2 linked regions of the Cricetulus griseus genome follow. The protein of the gene in region 1 interacts with the protein of each later gene in a pairwise test. Links are inferred from orthologs where the notes say so. Each region holds a gene or a part of one and is shown on either strand. Other genes may lie near its edges. The genes, in order: Cep19 and Cep43.

Region 1 (4,386 bases):
GAATACGACATACTAAGTTTCAAGACAGTCAGGGTGACACAGACTCTGTCTCAAAAAAACAAAACAAAACAAAAAAACAAAAAAAAAAAACCTCACTATTCAGTTGCTAGACACCTTGCTATAAAACTTTGGCTAGAAATGTTCGAGAAGAACATTAAACCAGAGTGAAGCACTACATAAACCTGTTACTCAGTAACTTGAAGAAAAAAAAAAAAAGCATGTGTAGCCAGGAGAATAAAAACTTGTAAGATTCTCGAGGGTCCTTATCAACAGTATAAAAGGGAGTCAACAGTTGCTGGGGACAAACTGCAGAGAGAAAGAGATGGGGGTAAAAAAAAAAAACAGATATTGGGGCTATGGAGCTCCAGGGTTGCAGTTTCAGGGGCGGGGTCAACCATGTTGGGGTGGATTTTTTAGTGATGCAGATTCTTTTGAGTTATCCCTGCTCCTTGCAAGTAACCCTTCACCCACATTCCTACCAGTAACCCCAATAAAAAAAATTCATTGGTTCATCAAATTGGCTACTAGTACAAAGGTTACCTTTCTGGAGGAGCGAGAGAGGGAGGGAGGGAGGGAGGGAGAGCGGCATCTCCCTGGGAAGTCTGTCACGAAACACACCAACTCACCACCTCATCCCTTCTCTACAAACTGGCCATGTTCACACCTTCGGGGACGCGAAGGGTTCCCTGGCCTCTCCCGGCAGCAGAAAGCAGCTTCGGGGGTACCACAAGCATCCCAAGATGCTCCGTGGCTGTACCTGTTTAGTACTTTTGTGGCCTGCCCCGCCTCAGAGGGACAAAGCATGGCTCCGATGTCCGGGATGGAACACCAAGCAAAGATCACAGGGAGGTCAGGGACGCACGCGGCCTTTGTGGCTAACCTCCTCCCGCCCCTGGTATGTCTAACACCTCGGCAAACCGCGGAGCTGAAGGGCCGCGGGCGCTCCCCACCCCTGCCCCAGATCCGCGCGCGCTCCTTCAGCCTCCCCCCCCCCCCCCCGCCCTTTACCAGAGCCGAAGGGGGCGTCGCTCAAGTCCGCGGCGAGCCTGACGACCAGCCCAGCCGCCCAGAGGAGCAGCCAGGCCACAGCGCCCGCAGCCAGGACGCCGGAGCGCCGACGCCCGAAATGGGCGCGCGGGACGAGCTGCGGTCGCGGAAGGAGGCTGCTCACGTCGCAGCGCGCACTCCCACCGGCCGGGTGACTGGGACGGAGCGCTCCGCGCGCAAACGGCCCTGGACCCACTGAGCACTCGCACTGGGTAGCTCAGTCCCACGAACTGCAGGTCCCCGGGAGGCCCGCATTTGGCGCCGCCCCTGGCCATCCCAGCTGGGGCGGGGCGAAAATCTGCGCAAGCGCAGTCCGCGCGCTCGCGCTGTTGCCTTGGAAACCAGCCTAGGCGGGCGCCCGGCGGGCCTCTGGACCAAGCTCAGACTTAGGACCGCACACGCCGCGCTCAGGCCAGCTTCCCGTCCTCAGCCGGACGCGTGCGGGCTGGGGCCACCTGCCTCTGAACTCACCCCATGGTTACCCCTGTAGGAAATGGGTGTCGCCTCTTCCTGCAGCGTCAGGCTCCACTCCGCCTCAAAGATGATATAAGTGATCCTCTGTGCAATGCGGTTGGATGGAAACAGCCCTCTCGCTGCTGTTCAGATGTGCACTTCCTGTACTTCTTCAAGGGTAAGAAGGGTCGCCTTGCCCTAGTGAGGACATCAGTAGAGAAAGGTCGGGTCTATAAGGTGGGAAAGCCGTACCCCCTTAGGTGTTGTAGGGAACACAGTCATTGATCCCTGGGAAGAAAAGTATATCGTCCAAGAACAGTTAGGTAAACGTGCTGTCACTCCTCCCAACTCTTTGGAATATGTTAGCAGTTGTGGAGAGTGCTGGTGCTGGCCAGGCTATGAGGTCTCCAGGTGGGAAGAGGGTATAATACAACAAACACTGCAAGCACTCTGTTAAGAAATGCGGACAGCCACATGTAGTGGCTCACTCCTTTAATTCCAGCACTTGGGAGGCAGAGGCAGGTGGCTCTCTGTGAGTTCAAGGACAGCCTGGTCTACAGAGCGAGTTCCAGGACAGCTAGGGCTGTCACACAGAAAAAGCTTTAAAAAAAAAAAAAGAAAGAAAGAAAAAAGGAAGAGAGAGAGATAGCCTCCCAAGCCCTCCAAAAAAAGCTGGCTGCCTTTAATCTCAGCACTCAGGAGGCAGAGGCAGGTGGGTATCTGAGTTCGAGGCTGGTCTACAAAGTGAGTTCCAGGTCAGTTACACTAAGAAACCTCGTCTTGAAAAAACAAAACAAAAACCAACAACAACAAAAAATTTAAAAAGGAAAACTCTAGAATTTAAAAATGAAGACTCTATAGTCAAAACCCTACATTGTCAATTCTATTCACAAGTGTGGCCTCTTGTTTGTGTTTGTAGACCATATAGGGTGTTTAGTCGTATTTCTTAGAAAGCATACTAGCATCATACTTTAGTGAGGTGAACTGGGAGTAGTATCTGGTCATTGACTCAGATCAAAGGCAGAGCATAGCAATATGAAAAACAATTCTATATTATGACTAACCTCTTAAGAGTAAAAATTCTCAAAAAAAAAGTAAAAATTCTCACATCTAACAGTAGGGGTGAGAATACAGATTATGGTCCTATATAACAAATCTACTTGGCAACCATAAAATTTGCATTTTAATTCAGGAACTCATATGACATTTAAATATACTGTAGTAAATGTATATATACTTATAGCTAGAAAAAAAGGAATGGAAATTAGGTGAATATTTTATGTTTTCTTCCTCTTTCTTTTGTCCCTATTTTTTTAATAATGAACAGATATAAATACTATCAATTTTCTTTTCCTTCTTTTTTTGTTTTTTTTTGTTTGTTTGTTTATTTGTTTCGAGACAGGGTTTCTCTGTGTAGCTTTGGAGCCTGTCCTGGAACTTGATCTGTAGCCCAGGCTAACCTTGAACCCACAGAGATCCGCCTGCCTCTGTCTCCAGAGTGTGGGATTAAAGGTATGTGCCACCAATGCCTGGCTGTTGTTTTTGTTTGTTTGTTTGTTTGTTTTGGTGGGGGGGGCTACTATCAATTTCTTAATGTGCCTATAGTTATTCTTCAACAGAACTAACTTACAACTCCTAAGGGCCTTGAGATTCTTCATTCCTACAATAGCTAGTATTATTATTGCTGTTGGGCCTAGGCCATGAGAACCCTAAGTCTCAAGGCCTGAAAGCCCCCTGAAACTCTTCAGCAACTAGGCCTCATAGCTTCTGCTGCCTCAGCTTTAGTTACTGCCTTAGTTGGGGTTTCTATTGCTGTGAAGAGACACCATGGCCACAACAACTCTTATAAAGAAAACATTTAATTGGGGCTGGCTTACAGTTCAGAGGTCCTGCCTATTATCATCAGGGCTGGACATGGCAGTGTGCCAGTGATGGAGAGGTAACTGAGAGTTCTGCATCTCTGCAGGCAGCAGGAAGAGATCTGTGACACTTCCTCCAACAATGCCACAGCCACTCCATCAAGGCCACACCTCCTAAAAGTGCCACTCCCTCTGGGCCAAGCATTCAAACACATGAGTCTATGGGGGGTCATACCTATTCAAACCACCACATTCTACTCCCTGACCCACACAGGCTTGGAGCCATAACATAATGAAAATTCATTTAGTTTAACTTCAACAGTCCTCTTAGATTATTACAGTCTCAAAAATGTTTCAAAGGCCAAAGTTCAAAGTCTCTTCTGAGATTCATTCACTCTCTTAACTTTAATCCCCTATGAAATCAAAATAAAAAAACAAATCACATACTTCCAACATAGAATGATACAGGATATACATTACAATTCCAAAATACAGGGAAGGGAACATAGCAAGGAAATATTAGATCAAAGCAAGACCAAAAATTAGCTGGGCAAACTCCAAACTCTTGCATCTCCATGTCTGATGTCAAAACTCTCTTCAGATCTCCAATTCCTCCCAGCTTTGTCGACTGCAGCACACGTCTTTCTCTTGGGTTGGTTCCACTCCCTGTTAGCAGCTTTCCTTGGCAGGTATCTCATGACTCTGGCATCTCCAACATCTTGGGGTTCTCCAACACAAGGCTTCACTTTCACAGCTTCATACAATGGCTTCTGTAGGCCCTCCATGCAGGGACATGCTTGACAAATGCCTGGCCTCAATGGCTTTCCTTAGCCATTGTGGGTGGGAGGGGATTTCCTTTCTTCTATCCTTGACTCTAAAGCCAGAACCACATGGCTGAAACTGCCAAGCTCTGCTGTTTGATGTGGTTGGAACATGACCCCCTCGTTCAAATACATCTTCACCAGCTTTCTGGTTTTGATGTTGTTGTGCCCAAATTCTGAACCCCAAAATCACCAAGAGGCCCATT
Region 2 (3,816 bases), on another chromosome or scaffold:
GTGATAGCCAGATCTGCTTTTTGGAAATGTGAGCATTCAAAGGTCATGGCTTTTACCTTGAGGCTTTCATTGGTGCTGTGTAGAAAACTACTCTCCCTTCTCATGAATAGTGCAATTTAGTTTATTTTGTGACAGTCTTCTTAACTTTAATGCTCTCTCCTGGTTTCAAGTTGAAAATGTATTAAGATATTTTATGCAGCGGTGACATACATACATATAGGATGAAAAAGGAAAGCTATTTATAAATGAGAAAGTTTCTAAGTGGGATACACACTAAAAACATTTTCATTTAGAAAGAAGGAAAGAAATAGTGTAAACATCTTCTTTAACATTTTACCATTGGAAAGCTGTCCATGTCAGGAAGCCTGGGAATGAAGTGGGAAAGCATAGGACGACACTGTAGTTCCTGCTGTTGAAAGCACAGGTGTTCACACGCGCGCACGCACGCACGCGCACACACACACGCACACACACACACACGCGCGCACACACACACACACGCACGCACACACACACACACACACACACACACGCACGCACACACACACACACACACACACACACACACACCTATGTTGACTATTGTTTAAGATATCTTAGAAGTTTTATCACCACGGAGACCTCTCCCTCCCTCCATCTTTCTTAGAAGACCAACAGCGAGAGCAGTCAGAGCGAGCCCAGTAGTATCTCCTTATCAGAGCCAAGGAGCAAGAGCAGCCTTCACTCCCTGGCCCAGGAGACACGAATCGCGTCCTTCTTGAGCAGCAGCACTTTAGATGCAAAAGACAAAGGTGTTCTTTGTGGGGAGGAAGATGATGCAGAAGGAGACTCTTTCTTTGATGATCCCATTCCTAAGCCAGAAAAAACCTATGGTTGGTGAGTAGACTTCTTTGGATCATCTGACTTATGATTTAAAAATAAAATCTAAAATGCTTTCATTTTATATTTTAAAACTAATGATTTGCTAATAACTATATAATTATTGAATCCATAAACCTAGTTTTGTGTCAGTAAAACCTAGTATGTTATAAAATAATGCCAGAATTATTGAAGGCACCAGATGAGCCATTTTCACCAGATGAGTCTGTATCAGGTACTCACTGTGTGATAGGAGCTGTATCAGAGTTTCAGTTTGTGCATGTGTGGATGCTTGCTAATATAAGGGAACACCTGGGGATTTAGAATAAGGTAACAGTATTGCTGGAGTGCTGCCCTGTGGTAGACTCCAGGGAGGAGTTGTCAATGGAATGGAGGGGGTGGCCAGGGTAGACACTGATGGCAGTGCCTGGGAAGTTAGGACGGAGCTGACTGGAATGCATGAAGTTGTGATGAAACAGCCTCTGAAGGTTAGAAGGGCTCTGCGCTTCCTGAACAGTATGCATTTGAGAGGAAATGCTTATTTGTTGATTCTTGTACTGTCTTTTGTGTTTCAAAAGATGGAGGGGGCTTCTGAAGGAGCTCCTAGATAGTTGAAGGTCCACTTGGCTGAGAGATAGTAAACAGTTGGGAATTTAGGGGAGCTGGTGCTTCACTGACAATCTTATGCATCTGTAACTGCACGTCTGCAGTCTGCATTGTCCTGTAGGTGTGCTGTATGGTTTTCAATCTGTAAAATCTTCATGTCAACCATTAGATGCATATTTAAATTGCTTTTTTATGTTTACAGAATAAAAGACTATAGTGATAAGGCCTGAAATTATCATTTAACTATTAATTGCTTCCTGTTAGGAGAAATGAACCTAGGAAGCACGTTGGAAGTCTGGCCTCACTCTCTGACATACCCCCCTTCAGGAGTGGTCTCAGCTCCCTGGCAGGAGCCCCTTCATTAACAGATACTGAGAGTAAGTACTTGAATACTCCAGGTTGTAATGATATCTTGTTTATACTCTAACAAATAAAGCTTGCCTGAAGATCAGAGGGCAGAGCTAGCCACTAGATAACCGTAGAGGTCTGGAGGTCAGTACAGATAGGCAGGAAGTGAGGAGGTGGGAGGAGACAGGAGCTCAATCTCTTTTCAGCTGGGAAGTTAGCGAGGTAAAGGTGGCTGTGACTTGCTCCTTGTCTGTCTGATCTTTCAGCATTTTCCTCTGTATCTGACTCCAGGCTTTTATTATTAAGACCTATTAGAACTCATGCTACATGTTGGCGCCCAACGTGATCTTCAGGCAAGCTTTATTTGTTAGGATATAAACAAGATATCACTCTACCAGGTTAGTTGTTGTTGTTTGTTGTTTGTTTTTTTCGGATAAGTGTGGTGTTTGTTGCTGTGATAAAATACCATGACCCAAAGTAAGTTGAGGAAGGAAGTGATTATTTGTGTCAGGTCAAAAAAAAAAAAATTAGCCAGTCATATGTAATAACAATTAATATAGATTGGGGGTTTTATTGTTGTAGTTTTGTTTGTTTGGTTTGGTTTGGGGGGGTTGTTGTTTTAGAAAAATCTCCATTTTAATGAGATGGACAATATTTTGCCACTCTTAATGTAGTCAGTATTCTCCACCATTTGTATTCTTTTTTGCTATGCTATCAACATAGTTTTCGGAAGCTGACTTTTTAAATGCTTTAGACCATCAGTAGGTATACATATACAATTTCTAAATTTTACACAGAAGTCATACATAATACTTCAAATTTAGTCTTGGTTTTCCCTGGCTGCAGTATGCACATCCCTCTGTGTTTTATCAACATGTTGATGAGCCACATGATCACTGGGGAAGGTAAATAGCCTCTACCGAGTACTGCTGGACTGGGCTGGGCTGGGCTGGTAGGTTAGGCATCTCCAGTAGAGTTTTCATAGGAGTATTGTCAACCTAAGATGAGTGTTAGGTGCTGTCCCCTTCCAAGACAGAAAACATTTGTAACTTGTAAGTCATGCCTCATAAACCCTTAAAATAACTTAAATTTTAAAAGAAGTTTTGTGATAGAGTGATCATCATAGTCATTCTGCCATCAGGGACTTGTGTCTGACATTTTTATGTGAACAGAGGAGAGGTTGCTAGCAAGGTGAAAGGATAGCCAGCTTCCTGCACTATGCCATCCCATCTCATCCCATCCTCACCCTGGGAAAGCATATGTGGATATCACCCTGTCATAGTCAGCTGGTATTTAACCTGGTGTGCAGAGCATCAGCAGGACTTCCTCAGGTAGTCCACTTGGAGTTCACAGTACTAGGTTTTGTGTGCATTTTTATTTTGGTGGTTGTGTTCTAATAAAGAATAGTATGATCTGATTTCTCTCCATAACACATGATTGTAGCCTCTACTGATAATTTTACCTCTAGGCTTTCATACTCTTAGGGTGTAAATGCTTGGTGTGGCTTAGAGAATGTTGCCCTGAATTCTTTCACACAGTGCTCTTTCCCGTCTGCAGGTAAAAGAGGAAGCACCGTCCTAAAGGATCTGAAGTTGGTCAGTGAGAAAATCGGATCACTTGGGCTAGGTAACTGTATTTCAGTTTTAGTGTGGTTGTTGAAAACCTTTTCCAGGTCTACATGGAAGAACCGTCCTGCTGTCATTCAGCAGGTGTTGGAGAGTTAGTATGCATCCAGAGTTAGCCCTGTGCCAGGGGACGGTGGCAACAAGTTGCACCATCCTTTGTCTTCATGTCCAGACTGTGGTAGGGGAAGGCCCTGGACTGGGCTTTTGAGGAAGGCCTCTGGAAGAGGCTGTGGCTGGGCCTGGTGATCCAGACAGAGCTGTATAACAAAGGTTTCAGTGAACATGGGTGAAGTGGTGACAGCAACCGAGCTGTTCTCTGGGTGCTGTGAGTTCAGCACCCAGACCACAGGGAGTCCATCCGTCTGCTACAGGGCTCAGA

The links.
Region 2: the proteins of Cep19 (region 1) and Cep43 interact in binary tests that used the Homo sapiens proteins (3 or more experiments, as listed by UniProt). The two-hybrid records come from large-scale screens. The link is inferred for Cricetulus griseus from reciprocal best matches to the Homo sapiens genes CEP19 and CEP43.

The regions. Positions count from the first base shown.
Region 1 is NC_048597.1:57,396,759-57,401,144, reverse strand, and holds the start of Cep19 (centrosomal protein of 19 kDa), read left to right. Parts: upstream 1-1,355; 5' UTR 1,356-1,678; intron 1,679-4,386. UniProt on the Homo sapiens protein: Required for ciliation. Recruits the RABL2B GTPase to the ciliary base to initiate ciliation.
Region 2 is NC_048595.1:292,382,312-292,386,127, reverse strand, and holds part of Cep43 (centrosomal protein 43), read left to right. Parts: intron 1-646; coding exon 647-876; intron 877-1,728; coding exon 1,729-1,841; intron 1,842-3,369; coding exon 3,370-3,438; intron 3,439-3,816. UniProt on the Homo sapiens protein: Required for anchoring microtubules to the centrosomes. Required for ciliation.